4 linked regions of the Astyanax mexicanus genome follow. The protein of the gene in region 3 interacts with the protein of the main gene of each other region in a pairwise test. Links are inferred from orthologs where the notes say so. Each region holds a gene or a part of one and is shown on either strand. Other genes may lie near its edges.

Region 1 (7,357 bases), on a different chromosome or scaffold from region 3:
TTGCAATTGAGAAAATCGGTTTTCTTATTTCTTGTGTATTTTTGCACTTATTACACACTGAGGCCTGTTGTCCAACAGAATTAACATTTATCAGCCAATCAAACAGCAGCTTAGCCCCGCCCACTGCATTGCACAAAATCAAATAATCATGTTGAGTTCTTTTTACCGCTTTGGGATGATTTTTGAATAAAAAAAAAGCTAAATAAAATTTATATGAAATACAAACGAGAATGCTACACAAATGATTACACTGCAATTAACAAAAATACAAATAATCTATATTTTAGTATGAATCACTGGAACATAATTCAGCTCTGAAAGGAATAATATAAATCAATAATTCTACAAATAGGCTATACGATATATATATATATATATACAGTATATAAAATATAAAAAGGGCTTCCAGCATTTCTCCTACCGGTTTTAATGGCGTATTTTAAGGTGGCTCGGCAGCTGATCAGAATATCATCCAGGGTTTCCGGTTCGTCCGAGAGCTCCCAGTTGTTCCGCTGGAGCAGCTCGTTCGGATAGTGGAAATCGATCACCTTGGTGGATCGATCGAAAGACTCCACGATGTAGGCCAGCAATATATCCACCACCTCCTGCAGGAAATTCATCGTCTTCATATCGCCGTCCAGCGCGGGGAGCAGGTCTGTACCGAACCCAGATTATTATAACGATTATTATATGATAATAAATACCATCAGAAAAGAACATCGGCGAAATGTGTTGAATTAATGATAAACGGCAATCTCAGTTTTAGCAAAATCAGTTTTGGTTTTAAATAAATCAAATAAGTCAAATAAATGAATAATGCTTTACCAAAAAATCCCAAATCATCAGGATTTATAAAAAACAAACCCAAAAAATCTCATATCAGTTAAAAAAAAAAACATATAATTTACAATCATTTTCTTTCTTAAACTGTACATCTAATCACGTATTAATGATCGTTAATCATTAATAATTACCAGTAAGACATAAATATAAAACAAATGCATAAATAAATGAAACATTTAAACAACAGGAGCCCCATTATAACGCGAATGAAAAAAAATAAAACACACATGCATGCATTTAGTTGGTAGGCTTTATACATTATTATACATTATTATTAATACATATCTATTTCTAGACACACACCCGCACGCACGCAGACACGCACACACACGCGCGCATTCACACACACACACACAGACACGCACGCGAGAGCACACACATACACACATGCACTGTACTTTAAGATGTATGCTACGTTCTGTGTATATAATGTTGACTTCCTTTTTAGAATATATATAAATACATATATATAGAAAATATAAATATATTCTTGTTTTTTTTTTTCAAAGGAAAAACAGGCACTTTTTACAGAAAATGACGGGGAAATTAGTAAATAATAAATACACACATAAACACAGAAATAAATACAAAATAAAACCCCCAAATAAATATACATTAAAACAGACAAATGTTGCACTATACATAAAGCTTAATAATAATTTCGCTAGATATGGCCATGACCTTGCGTGATGTGTAGGTTAGCTTGGCTAATCCGGCTGCATCCAAAAAACGAAAAAGAAAAAGGAAAATAATAATACATCCCAGAATAATGTTTACCTGTTGAATAGAGGTGAGAGAAGCCCACCGTGGCTTTGGAGCAGATGCATGGTTTATCACTGCAGCTGCAGCTCTCCGCCAGAGGGTCTTCTCCCTGTTTAGCTGCAGAGGGGTCTGCGCCCTTCTCCATCTCCCCGACATTCAGCAGCGCTTCAAATTAACGTTACATTATATTATTTTATTTTATATACTTTTTTTTCTTCACAATTTGATATATAAATATTTAAATTTGTGATGTAGGCCTATAAATACACTAAATATATATAAGAACCACAATAAAAATGTCACTACTATTTTATATAGTCTTATAATAAAGATTAGCGCCTCTTTTTGGTGATAAATAAATGATCTTACCACATAATTTCGAGCCGATGCCTCCTCCGAATTTTTGGGCCGCCGCTTGGCACCAAGCCCGAGCTAAAGCGAACGAGAAAAATAGATACAAAAATATTAAAATCTGAATTTTAGATTGTAAGAAACGTAGTAACTAACGTTATTTCTGGTCGAAAAAATAAGGGACGTATTTAAAAACTCTTTAAACAATTTAAACACCTTAAAAAACGAATAAAACACGAAATAAACGCTTTAGCGCTGTTTTAAGCATTTTAAGCCTTTATGCTTCCTGTTTTGGATCCTTATTATATATATTTTTATTTTTTTGTTATAAATCATTAGCTAAAAATTAGCCTCCGCTGTACTCACGCGTGCTCGAGCCGCTGTTGTTGTCTCCCGCGTTCTGGGCGCCCAGAGACCAAAAGCCGTGCGAAGCCATGGCGCGAAAACGACGCTGTCTGCGGCTAGGAAAGATAAACCGAGCCCATCCAGGGGTGATGGAGGGAGGGAAGAGGACAAATAAAGGGGGAGAGGAGGGGAGAAAAGGGGGGAACGGCGCGGGAAGCTCCGCTCAGGTCCTCGCTGGATGTTGGATGCTGGTGTTGCTGATGCTGTTGCTGCTGTAAAAAGCGCAGCTGCGTACGCGAGCGCGCGTGCATGCAAAACAAATCTGACGCACAGAAGCGAAGTGAGCGTGCTTTTCTTTTTCCCAATCCCGGCGCTGCGCAATAAAAGTCCACACGCGCCACCGGTGCGCCCTTTCTCGCCTTGCCTTTTTTATTACGCAGCGCATGCACGCCGCCGCCTCTCGCGCACGCGACGGTGGAGCTGCGCAGCTCTCCGGTCACTGCATGCTTCCAGAGAGGTGCTGCCGGAGAGACCCTTGCACGAGCGCGCACGAGCTGTGCGGGGAGGTGGGGAGAAAGAGAGAGAGCGGGAGAGAGTGCGAGTTTGCGCGCCCGCGAGCCGGATTAAGGCTTTGCTTAATTTATTTTTTTGCAGGTCGCATCATAATCCAGCGTGCGTGGAGGGAAAAAAGTAGGACGCACTAACGGTGCACTAATGTTAGAACCCCGTACCTACCCTCCCACTTCTCCCCCCACCCCCCACACCCACGCACACAAATTCCAGCATGATTCACTTCTCGTGACGACCCGCTCTGCGTCCCCGAGTCGTGCGTGACAGTTCCTGGCCCCTCCTGGAGCCCTCGTGGCGCACGGCTTAGCTCGCGCCTGTGCGCAATTTTAGCTCAAGATGGTCAAAGTACATAAATATATAAATATGTGTGCATGTGTGTGTATATAATTTTGGGGTGGGTAGGCAAGTAGGTTGGTGGGATGGGGGGCTGGATGGGGGGCGTTGAGTAGGGGGGTGGGGTTGGGGGGTAGAGGGTTAGGGTGGAACCCAAATCCTCTCTCTCTGTTATGCTGGTGAAAGCAGAGCTCTGCTGGTTTTGCGTCTACAGATATGCGGGTATTTCTCTGCAGCTGCGTGAATAATGCGCAGAAAGCCTAAAAAAAAGCCCTTTAAGGAAATAAATGGTGGGAGAGCAACATCTAAGAGTGTGCATTGCAATATATATGTATATATACAGCTTTGGAAAAAAAATGAAGAGACCTCTTATTCTCTAATCTACGAACAACATTCCTCCTAAATTACAAATAAAAATATTATCATTCAGAGCTTTTATTTGCAGAAAATGAGAAATGGCTGAAATAACAAAAAAAGATGCAGAGCTTTCAGACCTCAAATAATGCAAAAAAAAACCAAGCTCATATTCATAAAGTTTTAAGAGTTCAGAAATCAATATTTGGTGGAATAACCCTGTTTTTTTAGTCACCGTTTTTAATGCATTGTGGCATGTTCTCCTTCACCAGTCTTACACTGCTTTTAGATAACTTTATACCACTCCTGGTGCAAAAATTCAAGCAGTTCAGCTAAGTTTGATGGCTTGTGATCATCCATCTTCCTCTTTATTTTCCAGAGGTTTTCAATTGGTAAAATCAAAGAACCTCATCATTTTTAAATGGTCTCTTATTTTCCAGAGCTGTATATATGCATGATATACTATTTATGATATATATGATAATGATAATTGGGGTCAGGTTTTTCTTCACTATATAAAGGAAAACCAGTTTCCTTCCTTCCCTCCTTTCCTCCTATACCCCTCTATTTCCATTTGGCCTCCTTTAGGCCCTGCCTAAAATGTTTTGTTTGTATTGAACTTCTATGTCATCTGTTGCTAAATGTACATCATTATTTGTAAGTCGCTTTGGATAAAGAGTCCGCTAAATGTAATGTAATGCAATGTTATTAAAGTCAGGGGTCCTAAAGAATATATATTATACAGCAAAATCAACAGCTTTTTAAGCACATACCACTACACAGTACATTGCTACATTAAAGGCATAGCCCACACAAAACAATCTAAATAATAAAATGTAAAAGAATCTGAACATTAACTGTTATGTTTAAACATCAGTGTATTGAGATTCACTGCATGGTTATCTGAATTAACTGTAGAAGTACTCATATATGGGAGCAACACTCAGTTTCAATATATTATTCACATTGTCCTTTCCACCTTAAAATATATTTCCCTTCCACCTTAAAATGGTGCATGCATGATATTGACCTGTAGTATATGTTTTATATACTTTAAGACTTTTTTTATACATTTCTGCTTACATTATGTGCAGAAATGACAAACAGTCCATATAAACCTAAACCTGGATTCTTATTTGCATGATCTGTTCCACCTTAAAAGCCAAAGATGTTTATTTCAAAGTGCCTACAAGCCAAAAGCTTGTCTGTCAGGACAGCAGTATTTAAAGTGGAATTGTAAATTTACTGATGGCAATTAGCAAGTATATGTAAAAAAGCTAGGTAGCATCTACTTTTATTTAGTGACAGTTACAATGTTAATGAAGAAGCAAGCCAGGTGACTAAAAATATTAGTGAAGCAAGAGATAACAAGGTATGATCTATTTTAGGGGTATTTTAAATTGTATTACGATATTATTACGATATTTCCAGGCATGGATATTGTAAATTTAATATGTAACATTTAACATTATTGGTAAGTAACATGAAACATAACTGTTTTTATTTTTTTTACATAAAAGCTTTGTTAGAACACACTTTTTGCACCCATGTTTTGCAGAATGTTAAAAGTTAGATGTTTTACCTTCTTCCAGTTGCTTCCAAAATTCATCAGGCTTGTTTAGATGCTCCTTTAAGAACCTCAGGTGCTGAACTTTGTAGTGATGAAGACACAGTAAAGCCTTTTTTTTTATGACATTTTGGTGATCATAGTCCAGAGCCTGATCAATCTTCCTGAAGTCTTCCTCCAGGCCTTAACTTAAAACTTAGGAAACGACTACTTAAAAATAGCTTTGCTAGGCTGTGTGTCAGAGCCACACAGTACACACACAGAACAGCCATTTTTCCCTTTGCATTGCAGTGCATATGTGCGGAGAACTGTGCATAACCAAAGGCTGCAAGAAAGGATACATCAGCTGCGTCCTTTTTTTAATGCACCCTTAAAACCATTCCAAACCCAAGCTCTTAGGAATAGCCAAGAATTTGTTCTTAGCCTTATAGGGTATGTTCTTAGTGCTGGAGAGTTGCAGCTACTTAGAGGAGCTCATGGCTGCTGATTGTTGTAATTGACATCACCTGTGAACAAGCCACAGCCCTAGCCAGCTAATTAAGCCTTTCAGTAAAAGTAGCCTGAGAGCTCAAATCTCTCATGTGCCCAAAGCTTTGCATTCTGCTCCTTTATTTTCTTTTTTTAGCTCTAAAATTTTACAATAAATGAACAATTATACAATAATCTTGTGGAAAATCTTCTATAAAAAATTATTATTCACAGTAAAACAACAATTTAACCAGCAACCATATAGCAGCCACCTAACAGCACCCTAGCAATCACCACAGATACCAAAGCAAGTCTTTAGCAACCATGTAGCAACCACTAATCAACACCCTAGCAACCTCCTAGCAACACCGTAGCAATCACCACTGATACCATAGCAACTCCTTAACAGCCACCTAACAACCATTTAGCAACCTCATAGCAACCATCACAAATTTCATTACATTACCTTAGCAACCAGTTAGCAACAACATATCAACCACTGGGGATACCACAGCAACCACCTTACAACACCTTAACAATCTTAACGATCATATGAGCCATGTTAGCTATGCATTCATCATCCACCACTTAACAACACCTTGGCAATCACCTAGCAACACCACAGCAATCACCATGGACACTTATCAACACCATAGCAAGACTACCAACCACTTAGTAACCATGTAGCAACCACCTAGGAATCACCTAACAGCACCCTGGAAATCATCACAGATACCATAGCAACTCCTTAGCACCATAGCACCATAGCACCATAGCAAAACACCTACCAACCACTTAGCAACCATGTAGCAACCACATAGCAACCACCTAACAGCACCCTAGAAATCACCACAGATACCATAGCAACTCCTTTGCATCAATGTAGCAACACCTTAGCAACCACAGTACTTGGATTCATTATTTTAATTGCCTGACAACACTATTCAAATAGTAAAAATCCTAAATGTGATGAAAAAAACAGAAAATTAAATCACCAAATTTGCTAAAAAAAAGATTTTATCTGGCCCTAGTAGTGCACCACATCAGTTATTGTAATGTTCTGAGAGATTTTTTTTTGTTTACCAAAAATGTAACAATTGTACATTCATTTTGTGTAAAATGTGGAAATAATACATTTTATCTTTCTTATCTTATATATTTTGATTATTCACAGTAACACAACAATTTAACCATAACCTTCTTTGTATAAATCTGTATGTTTGACTCTCTATCCTCAAACACACTCCCACTCCACTTGAGAGCCACTGTGTTTTAGGGTCTTGCGTTGTCTTTTTGTCAGATCAAATCCCAAGTTATTGCCCTGTCACTGTGAATTATGGGATACTGGGAGTAAAACAGTGGAGACATGGCCTCTTTCTCTCTCACAAATAAAGAAAAAGCAGTAACTCCAAAAAAGATCCAGTACAATCACAACAAATTCAATAGTTAGCCGATAGGCTATTTATCCATTTTTGGTTTCAAATTAAAAGCCCCAGGGCAGAAAATCTAAAAGAACACCATAGCAACCACCACACAAAAAAGACTTCTGCATCACTTTAGCAACCAGTTAGTAACAACAAAGCAACCACCTGGGATAGAATAACAACCACCTAACAATACCGTAATGATCTTAGCGATCGGGGTCCATCATACATCCATCATACATTTCCTTCAGGAAGTTATATCATTGCTATGACTTGATTATAAGATAATATCATCTTGTTTTTTAGGGGTGATGGAAGTGCATAAATGGAGTAGCTACTC
Region 2 (7,050 bases), on a different chromosome or scaffold from region 3:
ACAGTGTAAATTATTGATGGTTTTGAAGATGTGGGGGGTTTTAATGATTCTCTCTGTACCGTGGATAATGGCATTTTACACTTCTCTTATATTTTACATGAAGTTTTTTACTTTACTGTCAATTAAAAATTCCCTGTCTCTCTCTCTCTCTCTCTCTCTCTCTCTCTCTCTCTCTCTCTCTCTCTCTCTCTCTCTCTTGTCTCTCTCTCTCTCTCTCTCTATGTCTGTCTTTATCTCTAAATAATCATACAGTTTCATTGCTTGTAGATTGCTACACAACAGACCTCATCTTTAGACATTAGTTAACTTCCCTCAAACATACATTCATTACATTACATTAATATTACATATAATGCAAAACCTGTGGATGTGTATGCATATAATACATGTGCCACGTGCATAATTTTAATGCATTTTTTGCCAAATGGGAAATCTCATTTCACCCCTAAATGTTTTTGAAAATTGACCCTTTGCATGTCAGAAATTTAGGAAGATTGATAAGTTAAATACATGCTGATTGCTAATTTTGTGAAGACTAGTACTAATTTTACTATATATCAAGCTACATTACAGTATGAAAAGATATAAATATAAATTTGATTGTAATAAAGACTATGGTGATCATTTGTGTGGACCAGATGTTTATTTTTCATTGGTTTATTTTTTCTAATAAGCCAATTTATTTTTTTCTATCCATTTCAATTTTTTGTTAGAATATTCCTGAATACTTTCTATTTGACAGTTGAGGCATCTTAATTTTAGAGTATAATTTTGTATCACTGATAATGATAAAATTACTTTCAATATATGACAAATTTGTTTCATCAACCATGTTACAACCATGACTATGTATTAAGCAACAGTAGCATTCTTAAGTCAAAAATTTTATGTGAAATTAAGAGTTATGTATTTTGGATAAGATTAGTACATTTTGTTAACAAATTAACAGATTATTTGCAATATTTCTGGATCTAAATATTATGAATATTTTGTGTATTGATAAAGTAAACCTAAGAATTGAGAGCAATTAAACTTTTATTTTTAAGTAGTAGCAGTGGTTTATTGTATATAATGCGTAATGTAATATATTTGCTGTTTGGCTTTGTTTTTGGTTTTATAATTCAGTAATTCTGCGTGTGTGTGTGTGTGTGTGTGTTTGACAGGTGTGAAGATGGAGCAGGAGGAGGCCTTGTCCAATGCCCTGAACTCCATCAGTCTGGACCAAAAACTGGACTCATTCAGGTCACCTTTTTTATTTCTGTCTTTCTGTTTGACTGGTTTAGTATTATGCTCAAAACATGGCAGTGTGAGATATACACACACTTTGTGCTCTGCAGCAAAAAAGCTCAGATAAAATCATGTTTTAACACTTTAGATCCTCATTGTGAACAGTACAGCCTTTCACTTTGGACAGAATGAAAAGGCTAGTCTTGTAAGCAAAAAGTAAGATATTAAGTTTCTCACCACATGTCAGGCTGAACCGCTGAATGAATGGTCTTTGTTTGGAAAAGGGGTCACTTGTAAAGCAGCAGTTTTTATCACACTTTATTGTTCTGATTACAGTCAGACCTCAGCTTCAGAGACATTTCCTAACCTCTAAGTTAGCTTCCTGATTTTACAGCTAAATAAACTGATCAGAACTGACAGCATTATTTTTGACTCTAAGAGGCTTTGCTTTTAGCTATGTCCGTTACTTTTAGTTGGCAGAGGATGTGTAAATGTAACAAAAAAGCATTTTTTTAGGACCCTGAGGGGTGATTTATAGGTATGTTTATCTGAGGGGCACTATGCTTAGCTATGTTCACCCAAGGGCCACTATTTTCAGGTATGTTCACCTGAGGGGCACTATTTTAAGGTATGTTTACCTGAGGGGTGCTATTTTTAGGTATGTTCACCTGAGGGGTGCTATTTTTACGTTTGTTTACCTGAGGGGTGCTATTTTCAGCTATGTTCAGCTGTTTTAAGGTATGTTCACCTGAGGGTTGCTATTTTTAAGTATGTTTACCTGAGGGGTGCTATTTTTACGTTTGTTTACCTGAGGGGTGCTATTTTTAGGTATGTTTACCTGAGGGGTGCTATTTTCAGCTATGTTCAGCTGTTTTAAGGTATGTTCACCTGAGGGGCACTATTTTCAGTTACGTTCACCCAAGGGGCACTATTTTTAGCTACGTTCACTAGACCTGTCACGATACAACATTTTCGGGACGATATATTGTCCCAGAAGTTATTGCAATAAACAATAATTTTGTCATTTTAAAGGGACACTATAGAAAATGCTTTTTTCCTGCATCTGGAATCCCAAAGGAGCTTTAAGACAATGTGCCACATAAAATACTAGCTAGCATAATAATACTATTACATTTTACAGTAAAACTATTATTTTTTTTTTTAAGAACAGACGTTGTGCTTCCAATATAAGAAATATTTAAATATGCTAAATAAAAAAGTACAATATATATATAATATATAAAGTAACAACAAATAGATTAAAAACATTTACATTGATTCAACTTTTTTTTTTTTTTTTTTTTTTAACTCTGGACACAAAGGCACTATTTTCAGGTATGATCACCTGAGGGGCTCTATTTTTAGGTATGTTTACCTGAGGGGCTCTATTTTCAGATACATTTACCTGAGTGGCACTATTTTCAGATACATTTACCTGAGGGGCTCTATTTTCAGGTATGTTTACCTGAGGGGCTCTATTTTCAGATACGCTTACCTGAGGGGAGCTATTTTCAGGTATGTTTACCTGAGGGGAGCTATTTTCAGGTATGTTTACCTGAGGGGCTCTATTTTCAGATACGCTTACCTGAGGGGAGCTATTTTCAGATACATTTACCTGAGGGGCTCTATTTTCAGATACGTTTACCTGAGGGGCTCTATTTTCAGATACGTTTACCTGAGGGGCTCTATTTTCAGATACATTTACCTGAGGGGCTCTATTTTCAGATACATTTACCTGAGGGGCTCTATTTTCAGGTATGTTTACCTGAGGGGCTCTATTTTCAGATACATTTACCTGAGGGGCTCTATTTTCAGGTATGTTTACCTGAGGGGCTCTATTTTCAGGTATGTTTACCTGAGGGGCTCTATTTTCAGGTATGTTTACCTGAGGGGCTCTATTTTCAGATACGTTTACCTGAGGGGAGCTATTTTCAGATACGTTTACCTGAGGGGAGCTATTTTCAGGTATGTTTACCTGAGGGGAGCTATTTTCAAGTATGTTTACCTGAGGGGAGCTATTTTCAGGTATGTTTACCTGAGGGGAGCGATTTTCAGATACATTTACCTGAGGGGCTCTATTTTCAGGTATGTTTACCTGAGGGGCTCTATTTTCAGGTATGTTTACCTGAGGGGCTCTATTTTCAGGTATGTTTACCTGAGGGGCTCTATTTTCAGATACATTTACCTGAGGGGAGCTATTTTCAGGTATGTTTACCTGAGGGGAGCTATTTTCAGGTATGTTTACCTGAGGGGAGCTATTTTCACATACGTTTACCTGAGGGGAGCTATTCAGGTATGTTTACCTGAGGGGCTCTATTTTCAGATACATTTACCTGAGGGGAGCTATTTTCAGATACATTTACCTGAGGGGAGCTATTTTCAGGTATGTTTACCTGAGGGGAGCTATTTTCAGGTATGTTTACCTGAGGGGAGCTATTTTCAGGTATGTTTACCTGAGGGGAGCTATTTTCAGGTATGTTTACATGAGGGGAGCTATTTTCAGATATATTTACTTGAGGGGCTCTATTTTCAGATACATTTACATGAGTGGCACTATTTTCAGATACATTTACCCGAGTGGCACTATTTTCAGATATGTTTACCTGAGGGGCACTATTTTTTTTAGCCACATTGCTTGTTGCTAGTGAAAATTGTATTATAGCTATGGGTAAACTGTAGGTGTAACTGCAGAGGTTACATAATCCCAACTTCACACTTGAACCCTATTTTCAGGCAGGTCCGTTTTTGTAAAAAAAAAAAAAAAAAAACTGTTAATATATGCTTGTTTGAAATATTGGTTTGTCAGGGAACAGGAAACACAATCACAAATAAGTGTATGGTTTGCATTGGGAAAGCGCTCTAAATTTAGTCCGAGTGGTAGTAAAAGTCTTAAAACGTTTCATATTTGATCCCCTCTTACCTGCAGACACCCTGAATAGCTTGTGTGCTCACATGGCTCTGATTTGAGTCTACAGTAATTCTTCCCTAAGCCAGTCTGAAGTCCAGCCCACTAGAGCTCATGTACTTTTGCCTTTTCTGAATGAGTGTGAGCTACAAGCTACCACGACACTAAAGCTGAGAAATTCCTCACAGTTTTCTTTCATTGATTTGGCTGAACTTGAGACTTTCTTAACCATCCTTATTTTATACTAATTAAGTGGACAACGGTCTTGTTCATTATCTTAATTTAAAGATTAGTTGAAGATTGAGACTTCTTGAGAATTTGGATTCGGTGGAGACAGTATGGAGGAGATTACAGAGCATTTCAGCACCAAGGCCCGTCCGCGCTCGGACAGCGTGAACAGCACAGGCACTCAGTCCACAGGCAGCCGGATGCTCCTGCGACAGAGGCTTACCATGCTCATGACCTGCATGGATGACCTGAACTCTAAAGACAGAGTTCATGCACAGGTGTCCAAAACCCTGGATGAAGTGTTCGAGATCTGTGGGCAGAAAGCTCAGCAACGCCAGAAGGATCAGTTCAGGTTTTTAAGTTTTAATTGGGTTTATAGGGTTGCCATTGGTTTCACATAGGGTTGCCAAACAATATTATATTCTTGTTGATGTTAAATCGTTTCTGGTTTTAGAAATATAAAATTTTACTAAAATTTTAAACCAGTACTGAATTATGTGTTTCTAGAATACCAGAATAGTTTTTCAGGTAAAGCTGGGCAACGTCTTTACTTATTGTACTGCATTTGCAGCCATAAAATGTAAATTTACATGTAAATGTAAAATAAATGTAATGCAAATCAAGATAGATATAGTCATAAGTGGACTATGGACAAAGAGAGTTCATGCCCAGGTGGCCAAAACCCTGGATGAAGCGTTCGAGATCTGTGGGCAGAAAGCTCTGCAACTCCAAAAGGATCAGTTCAGGTTCAGTATTAACTGTGTTTTACATAGGGTTGCCATATTGGTTTTACATAGGGTTGCAAAACAATTCTCGCATTCTTCATTCTTCTTGATATTCACAGTCACATGCTTCTTGATTTTAACAAAATTCTGAGTTCTGGACAAAAATTTTAAACCAGTATTTGATTGTGTTTGTTGAAAACCAGAATAGTTGTTCAGGTAAACCTGGGCAACGTATTTACTTACTTTACTGCATTTGCAGCCAGACAGAAAATAAATGTAATGCAAATCAAGATCATTGAAGGTCATTCATTGTTTTTTCAGAAATTAAGAGTCTTAAAAATAGAGTTTTTCTGTTTTTGTTGGAATAACTGTCTCTTCTGTCTAGGTAATGCTTTGTAATAGATTTTAGAGCATTGTTGTGTGGATTTGATTGCATTCAGCTATAGACAAATTGGTAAGGTCAGATACTGATTGATATACTGTGGTTCTTGATCACAAACTCACTTTCCCACCCAAATTTATCCCCAAGATATCTGATCTGATGACAAGCTGTTCGTCTGCATTTGAATATCTGTGTCAGCAAACATTATTTTGATTCAGTTTTTAATAGAAACGTCTTGATGCACAACCCCTCCAGTAAAACTTGGGCCTCTTTACAACACAGTACAAATGTAAGAAATATTTATATTGCAGGTCAAAGGTCAATATATCGATAGCACTTAGCACCTAACAAACAATATATTGTGTAGTAGGTGTGTGCAATATGGCCCTAAAGTAATATCACGATATTTCAGGGTATCTTTGTGATACCGATATTTTTGGCGATATGACAAAACACTGAATAAAAAATAATCAATAATACTCAACTGCAAAAAAAATAAATAAAATAAATAATAAATGGTATTGCATACGATATGATATGGCACACCCTTAACTGAGACAAAAAAAAAAAACAAGAATTTTATTGAAACAGACGTTTATGATCCAGAATGTCCTGATATTAATAATGCACTCCATATATTTCCATATCTCCAGGATTAAAGTAAAATAAATGATACTGGACAGATATAATCTGTCTCTAGTAGATATATAATGGGAAATAAAAACAGTGTGAATTTTTCTTTTGCTAAAAATAGCAAAAAACTAGTACCCTGATGTGTTAATTAGGGGTGGGTAATTAAAGCATGATATTTCAGGCTACAATGTCATTCACGATATTCAAAAATGTTGGCAGTATTGTTGCATACAATACGATATGGCATTCTTAACAGTACAAGTGCTCCAATTGGTTATTTTATTGATGGTGTTTAAGAACCAATTTTGTTCATTTTTGTATAAAGAATCTTTTAAAGTTTTTAAGAAATTGATGAAAAGATTCTTCACTAGTTTGGAGGTTACATCACATCACTTTCAAAAAACAGTTCTTCTGTTTTGTCTCTCAATAAAGCCTTTGTAGCTCTGTTATTTTTAGAAGTGCAAGAGAGCGGATGCATTTTCTTGGAAAAGGCCAGGAAGCATTTTCTGGAAGCCTTTTTTTTTCTTGTGATAATAATAGCCATTTTTGTTTGATACTACAGTTCTTTTTTGTGTTCCTGAAGAAAAAGAAAGACCTTTGTTCAGTCATGGGCTCAGTGTATCTGTGTGTTTGTTGATCTGAAGGTCTGAAAAGCAGAGTTCTTAGAGAGAAAAATTTGTACTGTTTTTGTCACACTAGAAATAGCTAAGATGGATTAGACAGGAAGTCTCAGATCCTGATCTGCAGCGTACTTTGCCTGGAATGTGCCAATTTCTTGAAATGGCAATTTGTTAAACACAAGAATTAGGATAAAACATACCAAGGAGGATAAACATGCCATTCACATTACTCACAGCTTAATCAACCCATTCTACTTCTGCTTTGAGTCGTATTAAAGTATTATGTTTAATTTTGCTAAGTTTTATTTATATCTTTTTTTTTTTTTTTTA
Region 3 (7,017 bases):
GATTTTATCTATAATTCTGTTCAAAAACCTAGAGGCCTATACAACACATTCTAATTGCAGTGTGTGGGCGTGGTGGAGTTGGCAGTGTGAACTGTGTCTTATCTGTTAACTCACATGAAAAGCACTGTGGTGGCACCCATCAGCACACCGGGGAACCATGGCTTCTCCCACCGCAGGAACTGGTCCCCGGCCAAAATGACCTCCCCCCATCCTTGAAGCTGCTCCTCGAGTTGCGCAGTCTCCTGGGCCTATATTACATACAACATTTACAGTCAACAACAGAACAGAAAACAGTCTGTTCACATAGGAGGGATGAGCACGATCTGTCTTATGCAGGTAGTGATGCCATATGACAGTACTGTTTTTTAGGTATAGCATGTAAAATAGGGATAAATAACAGGCATTACATCCCCAAAAACATTCTGTCCTGTTCCATGGATGGGCAGTGCCCAGTGCCATGATTGCAACAACACACAGTAGAATGTAGCATATCCTTTCAGGTCACTGAAAGCTTGAATACATGTATTTTAACCTGAATATCTTCAGATACAGCCGTAGATGAATGTAATGTCAGTAAAGTGCCATATAACCTAATTTAAACTGGGTAAATAATAATAATAAAATAATATTTTTACTAGCATACATCCCACTCTGCAAATGAACTACTGCACTATGAAAGAGAGAGATTGAGTGTAAATCCTGTCAACAGAAAACACCAATACTAACACTAATAAGCACAAAGACAGCCAATCAGGATCTTTGTATTACACCCTCACTGTCACTCACTAGCTCTGTCTTAAAATCACAGGAGTCACAAGTGAGGTGGGATGAATCATTTCTATAATATCAAAATTAATAAGGCTAACAAATAAATGTTTCCGTGGTGCTATGATATCACAAAATTCTTTGGTCTTACAAGGCTGATATGAGCCCTCTCCAGACGTGATTAGTTTCTCATGGGGTCCTGGGGTCATTTTCTCATTTATGGGGGTCCTCTGTGATTATAATCCCGTCCAGAACGACCATGTATGTGTTTTTGTCAGACATCCTTTGAAAAACTTACAGGCTGAACTACCTACTGTTTTTCGCTGAACTCTGTGGTTGTCTGTTAATTTTATTTCTGTCTGGACGCCATTTCTGAATTTCTTCACCTCGCGTTTAATAAAATAGCTATTTGTCCACTGCAACAAACTGGATTACACTTTAGGTGCATGTTTCAATGGACAGCCATGTAAAAACACAACAGCGAGTGGAAATTGAGGAGCTACTGATCACAATGTAATGTGACCGAAAAAGACAAAAAAAACTCACTGGTCCTCCTGTTTTTCAATAGCAGTCCGGATGCAAGAGTTTTATCACTGAATAAAAGTGTGAAATATTTTTCACAAACGTCCCCCTGAGAAACTAATCCCATCCGGATAGGGCTATGGCTTGATTCCATTGTTTTTTAATGATTTTTAAATAGCATGTTAAAATTAAGCAGAAAACATTTTACAACGTTCTATTATTTATCAATTGGCAAGAACACCATAAGCAAAAAAAATAACAGTGTAAATCATCCACATAAAAAAATCACGATACATCAATACAGGCAATATCTGGTCCAGACTTCAGGTACATACTGCAGAAGCTAGGCCTGTGCCAAACAGAGCCTGGATGCCCAGTCCCGCCCTAAGCCCAAGATAGCTACTATATAGGTCATGAAATAATTAGTCTAAAACTTAAATCATTACTGATTTATACCTACTTAGATTATCTTGTACTTAAACTTGCTTTAGAATGAGGCCTAAAAAAACAGACCTCTTATAGCTTGCTGGCTAACTAGCTATTTCTTTGACTCAGCTGTAGGTTATTTAACCTACAGCTCTGTAAAATTGTATATGTTTAACAGTAAGGCTGCTAGCTAACTATATTAGATAATTGTGATTCACTATAACCCGACAATAAAGTGAGATTCGTGTAGGAAACTACTCCCAAATTAAAGACTACGCAGCTTTAGATATACTTAAATGTCCCGTTCCACCTTAAATTATGCAGTACTTTTATTGAGGCGCTTGTAGAGGCTTGAGCATCTAGTTAACTGCAGCTACATTTAAGGTGGAAATGAAATGTCAACTGATAGAGGTGGTGTCAGTTTAAAACGCGTCGTAGCTAGCGTTAACTAGCTAATAACTCTAATTCCTCGTTACTCGCTAAATGTACATTTGTGGTCGACATAGCTGAGCTAGCGTTATATGGCTATTATCTTATCACGGAACAAGGGTTTGGTTCATGTGTTCACTGAGCAATAATAGGGGAAGTGGGGACACACCTAACCTAACTAGCTAGTTAGCTAGTTGACTAACTGGCTAATAAAGCTTGACTATAGCTTTTAACAGCAGGCAGGAATAATTGTATTTTTCATATCAAATATCCTGTATATAGCAAACATATCAGACCATTATCAGTTATTTGGATTAAAAAGTCTTCTTCTCTTTAGCTTTTCTCTCAAATTCTCCAGCATCCGTGCTCACTATAACATTAACCAGCGAACGCTAGCTAATTTACAGTTAGCTAACCTAGTAACCTCAATAATTCTAAGCTAAACTAAGCTAATAATAAAACAGGAGAACACACTTAAACTACTATATATTTTACATCAGTAATTTAGCCAGCTAAGTTAGCTTGCTGCTTGGCTAACCTAAGCTAGCTCGCTGGCTATCAAAGTGACAGGACTAGCGCAGCTAGCTGGAGTTAGCTATACGAGCGGCTAGCCCTCCCCGCTGTAAACAGTCCGCGCTAAGCTAACCGGCTAATTAGTTAGTTTTTTCCCTTTATACTCGTTTCCACACTGTAGAGTAAATAAACCGGAACACCTACCAGCTGATTAGAGCTTTTATTGTCGCCCTCTGCCATGGTGTCCATGTGTGTGTGTTTGTGAATTCACCGGGCTAGCAGAAGTAACCGCCTCACTGGAGAAATGCGCAGCTCACTGGCAGCTAACGGTTACAAGCAGGATGTTTTTATCTCAAACTCGAGCGCAAAGCTTCATGGGAAATGTGGTTTTCAAATACAAAAGATAAAGAAAGAATAAAAGTTTTTTATAATTAATTCAAAAACCGAAATGGTTACGTTGTTACACACGACATTCCAAAAGCATAACTAATGCATGTCAAAATATAGAGAAGTGTTTCAAACTTTCTTTCTTGATATTTTAGGGAAATCATCTCAAAATAATAATTTTTTTCTAAAATGACTTACTTTCTTGATATTTTAGGGGAATTATCTTTTTTTTTAATAATTACTACTTGATATTTTAGGAAAATCATATCAAAATATATTTTTCTCAAAATAATGACTTACTTTCTTAATATTTTAGGGAAATCATTTACAAATGTATTTTTTCTCAAAATAATAAGTTACTTTCTTGATATTTTAGGGAACTCACCTTATTTTGACTTGTTATTTTAGGGAAATCATCTCAAAATAATGTTTTTATTTTCAAAATATTTACTTACTTTCCTGATATTTTAGGGAAATCATCTCAAAATAATATTTTTTCTCAAAATGACTAGCACCCCAAAATAAAGAAATGACAGTACTTAAAAATAATGACAATTTAATAATTAAACAATATTTAAAGAGACAAAGAAGGCATATCATATTCAGCTGGTGATACAAGATTTTAGTGCTGTGTATAAGATCTAGAACACCTTTAAGAGAACTTTGATGGTAAGACAGGCAAATTAAAACACCATCTTGACTGTTTTGAAAATTCAGAATGTCTTTAGTCCCTTGAAGAAGATAGAGAAAAAGTCTAAAGGTTGTGATGTCACTGAAACCAAAGGTTATTTTATTATTATTATTATTATTTTTTTTTTTTTTTACAGAGTAGGGTTATCCAAAGTTGACAAGATGAGCAGGGAATTTGTGGACAGGATTAAATAGCTAAATGTTAAGCTAAATGAATATTTGAAAATGCCTAAACTTCCAATTACAACAAAAAAACTGTATAAAATAGTTATAATAGAATATAAATATAAAATATAAAATAGGGGTGACCTGCAATAGTCGCTGATTTGATTATTTGATTCGGAGGACCTCTATTCGACTATTAACCTCATAGTCGAATGTACTATTCTGACTGCATGGGGGTGCCCAAGGCTGCTAAGCATTAGTTGTTATAGGAAATGTCTTTGTTTTTTGTAATATATTGCCTTTTGTCAAATAAAATCGTACTAATTTCTGTTATTTGTTTTTAATTACGTGTGCGCATTAACAAAAAGGCTTCTTACACATTAATATATCACCCCCTGCAGTTGCACAATCCAAATGAGCGGAGCTGAACACGCTACAGGGCTGTCAGCGTCTGCCGGTGTATTTGCTTTAAGAAGCTCTCCTCTCTCTCTGATGCGCAAAGAGAAGAGGCGTGTTCAGCGGTAGCAGAATTAGCCGAGAGTCTCACTGACAGATCATCCCTGGAGAAAAGTGACATGGTGGTGGATGCTGGGCCGACTGTGCCCAGACATAAAGACACAGTGATGTCTATGCTGCTGGTCAGTGATGAGGATGAGGAGGACCAGGCGGAGGATGAAAACAGTGAGATGAAGGCTTATACAAAAGACTTTGATCAATAAAATACTAAAAATATTTAAAATGAATAAAAAATAATTAATATAAAATAAAAACTCATTTAAAACACAATCAAAGGCTATCTAATAGTGCGCAGAATAATATCGGTTTCAGTTAGTTTCAGTTTAAAATAACTGAAACAGCTCCCCAAAACCTCAACCTATCCTTTATATTTGACAATATTTTATTAACTTTACAGGTCCTCACTCATCTTAATTTATTTTACTAAACTGAGTTTTTATATTATTAAAGCCTCGCGCTGAATTCAGCTCGTCGCGGCGCATTTTGCCTGATTTCTCTTGATTAAACACAATAAATATGTGAATTTAATACCTTTTAATACCATATATTTTAATTCACTTGATAGGACCTTATTTATTAAAACGTTTTTTTTAATCGCTATGCCGCGCGCGCTTTTCTTATGACTGACGCTAAACTGTTTGATCCAGCTGTTATATTATATCATCTTATATTAATACCATTTTAACGTTTTTCGTTTCTGTGTTTTGAAATTCGTTAGATTATATTTTTGTCAACATTTTGGGTTTATTTTCGTTTGTTATTTTTCTAATAATAATAGAAATTACATAATTTATTTTTTGTAATTTTTTTTGTATACTTTTTTTGCACAGTGCCTGTCTAACAAAGTTAGCCAACACATTTCCCAACTTGTGTTTTAGTTTTTTTCCTTTGAAGTGAAAAAAAGTCCAGAAGAGAATGGGGATCCCTTTTATGGTGCTATAGGGAAAAAAATGATTCGACTATTAGTTGACTAAAGGGAAAATCTGACGAATCAGATTCGACTATAAAAATCTTTAGTTGAAGACACCTCTAATAAAATGTACAAAATGTACTTCACAGTCAAGATGAACATATAATCTATATTTGTAACAATATGTTTGTGATTATTCATAGTAAATCTTAAACAATCTATTTTTACAGTGTTTAAATTAAATTTAAAACTATGCTGCAGACACAAAAGGCATGTTATATTCATATTCACCCATACCTCCTAGGGGTGTCACGATTCTCTAAATCCTCGATTTGATTTTATTTCCGATTTTATGGTCACGATTTCATGCGATTCTCTCTTTTTTTTTTCGTACAGCAGAGAGGCCTATGCCAGTTTTAGATTAGTCTATGGTCAGCCATTGGTTTGATTAATCAAATTTACAATATTTCAAAAGGTGGGCTTGATATAAATGATGCAAAGTGATACAAGTGATCTGTAATAAACCACATTAGGCACTAATGGTCAAATTAAAATAATTTAATTAAGATATATATGTAATGCCATGTAGTGGCTTTTTTGGTAGCAGCAGTGTGCACTTTTAAAACAGCAAATGTGCAACTTAACAAAATAAATAATAAAAAATACAGGAACAGTCATGTACAAAATAATAGAACAATTAGAGCCTTTACAAACTGAACTCTATCCTACTATAACAGTTAAACATGAAAAATAAGACTAAGACTTTTTCAGTCCCTGAGAATGACAAGTTTTTTTCTTTAACAAAGATATATTATTAACTTTATCTGAGAGACAGATGCTCCTTAAGGTACCAAAACTATTAACATATTTGAGACTAGACAAAACAACTGTTATTTTTATATTTTCAAGTTTTTCTTTAAGAAGATGAGAATGTCCACATTCTCTGGAGAAAGGGCTGCTCTTTGAGCAGTCACAATGTCCGGCGGCGTCGGCTACAGTGTGCTGCGCCATTTGCGTAGCTCGCGTAGCTTAGAGGGAGGGATCGTCGATGCTCTTTTTGACTTCAAGGCTCGAGACCATGACACAATTTCGATCGATTTCGACGAAATATCAAAATTGTGACACCCCTAATACCTCCAATATCATTCCTAAGGGGAAAAAGATGTTTTACTTATTATTGCAACGTCCTAAGAATGTATGACAACTGTAGCAACTTGAATCTTGTGTTTAACTTAAAACTTCCAATAACATCAAAAGGTACATCTTGCATATCATAAAACTAGTGGTGTCAATCAATTAAACAAATAATGAAAATCACATCAGAATTATGTGATCATGACTAAGCACTTTCTTTCTTGAGACTTCTTTTTAATGTGCATTTAAAAATGTGAATAAAGAATCAGTGTTAGAAACACATATTTGCATTATTGGTGTCTTAAAATCCCTTTCTATTAATCACAACAATATTCTGTGATTAAACATGACTACATTTAAGCAATTTTTGAGAAGAGGACAGTAATAATGTTGTAGTGTGGTTTACATTTGGCAGACTAGTTATATATATATATATATATACACTGCTCAAAAAAATAAAGGGAACACTCAAATAACACATCCTAGATCTGAATGAATGAAATATTCTCATTGAATACTTTGTTCTGTACAAAGTTGAATGTGCTGACAACAAAATCACA
Region 4 (7,119 bases), on a different chromosome or scaffold from region 3:
AGTATGGGATCTACAACACTGCTACCTATAGGTTAGGGTTTAAACACAACACATACTGAACCTGTGCCTCACACCAACCATAACATCTAAACTCCTAACTAAAAATCGTGTTTTTAAAAATGAATGCAGTATTGCAAAACATACTATCACAACACTTTGATGTATTGGCATTTTCTTACACTCCTTTTGTAAACAGGGCTAGGAAATCCATAGTTCTACTAAATGTCTACTATTTATTTTCCTCTCCTCACTAATAGCTTTAAGCTCTCTCTTTTTATGTTATAGCAAAGTTATTGTTTGCAGTTTTTACACAAACAGACTAAGATGCTCAAAAACAAACTCTAAAAAATGTCTGCACAAAGTGTCTTTAAAATACATTTTAAAGAACACAGTAAACTGTTCACTGGTCTCAGGCATAAGGCATAACAATTAGTATATTAACTTTATTATATTAACATTTGGGGCATTCGAGACATCTGAATCATTTAGGTAGGACTCTTGCCGTATGACTCTTATCGTAGTAGTATGGTTAAGAGGCATGTGCAGCTTTAAAGTCTGGTTCAGCACAGCTGTAAACATTTTTGACATGTTCTTAGATCTTAGAACAGGGCTTTCTTTGTTATTGTCAATGGTCTCCAACCCTCCACCTGAAAAGCTTCCTTTCTGCAGGTTTTAACCTAAATCTAGCACACCCCTTCCAGCCAATAAAGAAGGGGATTGTCAATACAAAGTAAACCTAGTTCAGACTAGCAAAGCTGGCAGTATGGACTTGGCAAATTTGAATTTCTAGTGCAAACCACTAAGAACAGGATGATGCTGTTCATTCATTCAGCAACAGGAAAAGTAGTATACTGTGTAATGATCTTAGAAAACATCAACACACATTTTCATTTAGGCGCTATCTTTATATTTTAACCACCCAATTACCCAATTAAGTCTACACAAAAAGTTGTGTCTAAAAAAAGCTAATGATTTCATTCCATGACACAACAGTAGTAAAATTATAATCTTATATTTAAATTACACACATGGGCAGAGTAAGAAAACATTAGGGCTGCTTACTGGCAATAAATTGTTGTATATGCAGATTAGTATCACAATACAGTTATTTAATTTTAATAGTAATTAAATAATAATAGTACTTAAAAATTGGATGTTATGCAGCAGCGTTCTGCCTTCTGCCTTTTGTTCTGAGAAAGTTCCACTGCTTTCTGTAATAACTACATAACACTGTAGAATACTTTTACCTTCAGCAGTTTAGTACTACATTTTACAATAAACTACTTACTGCAATACTTGAGTTTTTTTTTAATACTTTAGTACTTCTATTTAAGTGTGGTGTTTAAAGAACATCTCTACTTCTACTCAAGTCACTTTTTAGATATAAAGCACTTGTACTGCGTCCCTTGTACCAAAATAAAACCACATACTAACAGTAACTGTCCTAGATCAATGCTGAAAGCAAATAAAATATATATTAGATTAAAATATCTATATATTGTCTAGCACTAGAAAGGCATAATTGCATTATTATGCTATTACATTATTCCAACTACATAAAACGATCTTAGCTGACAATATCATTTGTTGCATTTACTTATGGTACAACATATTGTCCAAAAAAATCACATAATAATAGTAATCATGACAGACCTAAAGATACATTCTGAATATTGTTTGCAGTGTTTGTACTGCAATAAAGCTGCAGATTCTGCAGGGCCTTCACACTCTAACACATCACTTCCCCTCAAGTGGACAGGGGCCTGGGTGAGTGAAGGAGATCAGGGGAAAGTAGGTGAAGCCTGCAGGCTGTCCAGTGCAGAGGTAGCTCCACAAGTTCTGATGAAAGACAGGCTGCATGATTGCATCATCGCTTCACTTCAGTTCACTTCTTCAACTTCACATGCAGCACCATACCATACACACAAAACTACTGGGCTGCTGTATAGTTAGTTAGCTAGCTAGTTAAATAAGAAATGTTAGTGTCAGTTTACTCAGGATAATTTACTAGCAAGTTAGGTTAGATTAAAATGTAAAATGCATAACTTAGCTTAGGTTAGGTAAGTTAAAGGTTTGAAACATCAGCTTCTTGTCATTTGGCACATTTAATACAGTTAAACTGTGGCAATACTGGTGTTGCTATATAGTTAATAGCTAGTTAGATAAGAAATGATAGTATCAGTTTATTCAGGATAACTTTACAGCGAGTTTAAAAGGTAAACTGCATAAGGTTAGCCAAGTTATAAGGTTTGAAACATTAGCTTCTTGTCACTCAGCACATTTAACAAAGTTAAACTGTGGCAATAATGGTGTTGCTATATGGTTGCTAGCTAGTTAGATAAGAAATGATAGTGTCAGTTTATTCAGGATAACTTTACAGCGAGTTTAAAAGGTAAAATGCATACCTTAGCTTAGGCTTGCTAAGTTTTAAGGTTTGAAACATCAGATTTTTGTCACAATTAAAACTGTGACAATAATAGTGTTTTATCCAAAAATATAGACATTTAAGAAAAAACATTTTTTTACATGCTTTGGACAGTTAGCATGCATGCTAGCTAGCTAAACTGGCTACCACGTTCACAAAATAACATTAGCACTAGATAGGAAGCTATTTTAGATAGCGTTAACTATCTAAGCTTCGCTAAATTCACTTTATTTGCCGTCTTGTTTGAAATAAATAGTGTGAAAACACCTACCAGTGCACTCCAGTGACAAACATAGCTAGGGTTAGGTTAGCTGAGCTACACATTAAAGCCCAGCTAGCGTTAGCCAACCGTTAACGCTACCGTTTGTTTGGTGCTACAACCCAAACCAGCGCACGAGCCAACTAGCTACTACATACTGCTCCAAAAATACCCCGCAGCTGTGTCTGTGTGCGTTATTAATGTCCTTTAATAGGAGAACCGAGCTTTATACTCACCCGGGCGAGCTGTCTCAGTGTCAGTGTCAACATCACGGCAGCGCTGAGTGAGTGAGTGAACGAGCGAGCGGCGTCTCGAGGCTCTGCCTGCACACGTTGGTCCCACAAGCCAGCGGTAGTCTAGAGCAACGTGCGCAGGGTGTTCATGGGAATTGTAGTTTTTTTGTAGAAATTGGCCTACAAACCCATAATGCTGCTAAAAGACGCAATTTGCTGTAATTGCTTTTTAATTTGGCATAAATTCATCAGCATTCCTGGAGGTTCTATTTATTTTACTGTTGTGTTTTTGTGAGCTATGGTTAAGTTCAACCATGATTCAACCATAACATCAATGTTGATTCAATGTTGATTTAACATTGAAATGTCAACTGGAATACTAATTCTGTATAAAAGGAAATATGGGATATTCTTCAGAAATTTCCCTTTTTGCAGTATAAACCTTATTGCTATTCTGAAGAAGAAACATTTAAAATAGAAAATCCTGTGGAAATATATAAAGTAAGGAAATTTTTCTGTATACTGTACTTATTTTACTTTGTACTATCAGGTAGTGTATAATTTCTACTGCTTTATTAGGTAATGGCTAATACAGCAAGACAACAATAAACATCAATAAAAATATTTTGAGTAATGAACAATAAGCAATGAATCACCATTTAAGCAAATGTTACCATGCAGAAGTGAGTTTAAACCTATTTAGTTTGTTTGTCTTTGCTGTCTGGCTTCAAAAAGTAAAAAAATAGATTGAAGCCACGTTTACAATAAAATCTCTATATATACATTATAGAAGCACATATTTATGGACATTGGCAAGAATTTCATTCATATATATATATACATATATATATATATATATATATATATATATATATATATATATATATATATATATACATATATACATATATGTATATATATATATATATATATATATATATATATATATATACATGTATATATATATACATGTATATATATATATATATACATATGTATATATATATATATATACATATGTATATATATATATGTATATATATATATATACATATGTATATATATATATATATATATGTATATATATATATATATATATATATATATATACATATATATATATATATATATATATATATATATACATGTATATATATATATATATATATATATATATATATATATAAAATGCTCTTCACCCCTAAACTCTGAATTCTAAAATCCCCCTGCTGAAAATCGATGGCATCAGTAATAGTTTACCTGTTGACAGTGATCCAGACATCTTTCTTCTCCCGTGATGGCATTTCATCTCAAATCTCTTCCAATTATCAAAGTGGCTCCCTGATGCCCGCAAGTCATGTACAATATCATGGCTGTACTGAAGAAGAAACAAAAAAATGTGCTTTTGCAATTTTGGTTTATTCATTCAAATTCAAATTTAAAAAGAGGTAACAGACAACTTGTAGATTAAAAAAGTAAAAAACAAAATCTAATGAACACATTGGTAATTTTAAAACCAAACAAAAATGTTTTAGTTCTTAATCTTAAGACTTAAAATAGTGAGGTGGATTTTTGTGGAGGAGTGAAGCGTAAGTTGCGCTGGGGCTGGATACTTCAACATGACAATGACCCTAAACACTGCTCAAAATCTACTAAAGCTTTCATGCAGAGGAACAAATACAACGTTCTAGAATGATCATCTCAGATCATCTCAGTCCCCAGACCTGAATATTATTGAAAATCTGTGGTGTGATTTAATGCGGGCTGTTCATGCTTAGAAACCATCAAACCTGACTAAACTGGAGATGTTTTGTAAAGAAGAATGATCCAAAACACCTTCAACCAGAAACCAGACTCTCATTAGAAGCTATAGGAAGCATTTGGAGGCTGCTATTTCTGCAAAAAGAGAATTTACTAAATATTGATGTAATTTTCCTGTTGGCGGTCACCAAATTTATGCACCTGCCTAATTTTGTTTGATCTGAACAACCAATGATTTATAAAAGAAAATCATTAAATTATCAGGGGTTCCCAAACCTTTTCATACTACTGTATAAATTAGCCCTGTCAGTACATGAGGGAGCTTTCCCTTGGCCCTGTCACTCACTGGGGGTTATATATTGTATGTTCATTGTTTTGTTTGATTCTTTGTCCTGAAACCACATTTCTGTAAAGCTGTATTGCGACAATATTAATAAATACATATATAAATTTTATATCACAAGCCCTTTCACTGGGTGAATATAGTTGAGCCCCCTCAATTATTTATTTTGCCCCATGTGTTATAATGTTATAACATAATAAGATAATAATGGCCCTGATATAAAGAATAATCCAATTCATATAGACTCATATAGAGTCAAAGAGAAAGTAATACGCTCCGTGGTGCAGTTAAGGATATAGAGTATAGAGTTCTTAATTAATATCAGTTCTACATCAGGGATTCCCAAATTGCTTGTGTCAGTGGTTCAGTAGGCCATTGTGTTCTATGCAGTCAGGCTTTTTACACAGAATAAAAGTAGTCACTTAATAAAAAATGGGGCAAATACCAAGAATTACATATTCAGCCATTAATGCAGTAGATACTGAGAGTTGCAGTTTATCTGTCAGGAATGAGCTCTGCCTGCAACGTTAACATTTAATCAGCATTACTGTACACCTGCACACACACACACACACACACACACACACAAAATGACTTTCTCTGTAATCTAGTAAGGCAGCCAGAAAACACACTTTTAATAATTAATGTAGGCTTTTCAATAGATCATAATCTTCACTGTGAACATCCACAAATTACATGACACCAATCTGACCAGATTTAATAATTTATTTCAGATACATTATTTACACACAATAATTTTTCCAATGTCAAATATACACATTATCAAGCAATACTTTATTCACAGACCTGCAATTTCAGTCCTGATCCAGATAGCCTCTTAGTTTCACAGACTGATCGGTTGTCCAGAAATGAACAAAATTTGATTTTTGGTGCTTTACCGCGCAAACAAAAGAGAATAAAATAAATACGTAGATGAGACGTGACCGTGTCTTGAGTCCAGCGTCAGCAACTCATCAACATCCATTTAGTTTTGCATCTTTAGGCCAGCATACATATGTGATAATTACTTTTAATACTTAAGCTAAATTGATCTGGTTCCTTCATTACATTATATATATAGAGGTAATCATAGAGTTAATTTCTTTCTTTACATACATTACTTTTCACTGGTTACCTACTAGGTATATGGCATATGCATATACAAATCCAAATACATAGTTTAGCAGCTTTATTCACCCCCCGATTTATCCTAATGCCACTTCGTCACTTGGATGCAACCTTCAGAAACATCTAAGGTAATACTGTTGTAAACCAAGGGCTGTAATCCAAGAGCATGCTCTACAATTTAGAATAACAGGAGGAGGATCCAAAATAACAAACAAGAGTTTGTAAAACACTAAACCTGTAATTCTTCACAGCATTGTCTAGGAAAACACATAGAATAGAGAATGCCCTCCATAAATAACAACCATAAATATCGCATAATCTCTCTAAAACAGAGTAACATCTGGGCCACAACTCCTGTTCTGTTGGGAGGAGTTTATAAGTAGCTAAAGATAATGGATATACCTGAAAACTCATATCGTCATATGTTCTGAGTGTATGTTTTTACTATTGTGCAAAACAAATACTATCTCTGTATTCAGCATTTAATGATTTTTGATAGAATTTCATTTTGTAGTTTAGATATAATGATATAATAAAAATTCTTCCATTAAAAGTTAAGAAGGTTTTTTTTCTTCTGTAAAGTTAGCATTTTGAAGATTTAATCCAGAGGTTTTTAAATGACAGTGGTGATCTGCTATACACATTTAAAATGAAGATACTACAAAGATGACTTTACCTCTTTAATTTCCAGGTTTCAAAATTCAAGAATGATTACTGGATTTAAAGTACAGATTTGATGGCCCTAGAAGAACCATTTTAGTTTCATAAAGAACTATTGCAAACAAAATTATAGAGGGCAGTTTTTATGTTTTTAAAATTATTATTATTTTTCCCCAATTTAGAAGGCCAATACCCAGACCACTCTCAAGGTATCCCCCTATCACTATTAATGCGCTTAACACTAGGAGGGTGAAGACCAGCACATGCCTCCTCTGATACATGTGAAGCCAGCCACCATCCCTTTTCAAAC

Evidence for each region.
Region 1: the proteins of arl6ip1 (region 3) and gad2 interact in binary tests that used the Homo sapiens proteins (3 or more experiments, as listed by UniProt). The two-hybrid records come from large-scale screens. The link is inferred for Astyanax mexicanus from reciprocal best matches to the Homo sapiens genes ARL6IP1 and GAD2.
Region 2: the proteins of arl6ip1 (region 3) and inpp5ka interact in binary tests that used the Homo sapiens proteins (3 or more experiments, as listed by UniProt). The link is inferred for Astyanax mexicanus from reciprocal best matches to the Homo sapiens genes ARL6IP1 and INPP5K.
Region 4: the proteins of arl6ip1 (region 3) and shmt2 interact in binary tests that used the Homo sapiens proteins (3 or more experiments, as listed by UniProt). The two-hybrid records come from large-scale screens. The link is inferred for Astyanax mexicanus from reciprocal best matches to the Homo sapiens genes ARL6IP1 and SHMT2.

What each region holds. Positions count from the first base shown.
Region 1 is NC_064413.1:51,300,840-51,308,196, forward strand, and holds the start of gad2 (glutamate decarboxylase 2), read right to left. Parts: upstream 3,016-7,357; 5' UTR 2,393-3,015; coding exon 2,323-2,392; intron 2,038-2,322; coding exon 1,975-2,037; intron 1,771-1,974; coding exon 1,621-1,770; intron 656-1,620; coding exon 422-655; intron 1-421. UniProt on the Homo sapiens protein: Catalyzes the production of GABA.
Region 2 is NC_064425.1:30,527,528-30,534,577, reverse strand, and holds the start of inpp5ka (inositol polyphosphate 5-phosphatase Ka), read left to right. Parts: upstream 1-4,048; 5' UTR 4,049-4,470; coding exon 4,471-4,712; intron 4,713-7,050. UniProt on the Homo sapiens protein: Inositol 5-phosphatase which acts on inositol 1,4,5-trisphosphate, inositol 1,3,4,5-tetrakisphosphate, phosphatidylinositol 4,5-bisphosphate and phosphatidylinositol 3,4,5-trisphosphate.
Region 3 is NC_064426.1:19,378,847-19,385,863, forward strand, and holds the start of arl6ip1 (ADP-ribosylation factor-like protein 6-interacting protein 1), read right to left. Parts: upstream 3,012-7,017; 5' UTR 2,905-3,011; coding exon 2,860-2,904; intron 249-2,859; coding exon 115-248; intron 1-114. UniProt on the Homo sapiens protein: Positively regulates SLC1A1/EAAC1-mediated glutamate transport by increasing its affinity for glutamate in a PKC activity-dependent manner.
Region 4 is NC_064412.1:9,782,315-9,789,433, reverse strand, and holds the start of shmt2 (serine hydroxymethyltransferase, mitochondrial), read right to left. Parts: upstream 3,030-7,119; 5' UTR 2,954-3,029; coding exon 2,921-2,953; intron 1-2,920. UniProt on the Homo sapiens protein: Catalyzes the cleavage of serine to glycine accompanied with the production of 5,10-methylenetetrahydrofolate, an essential intermediate for purine biosynthesis.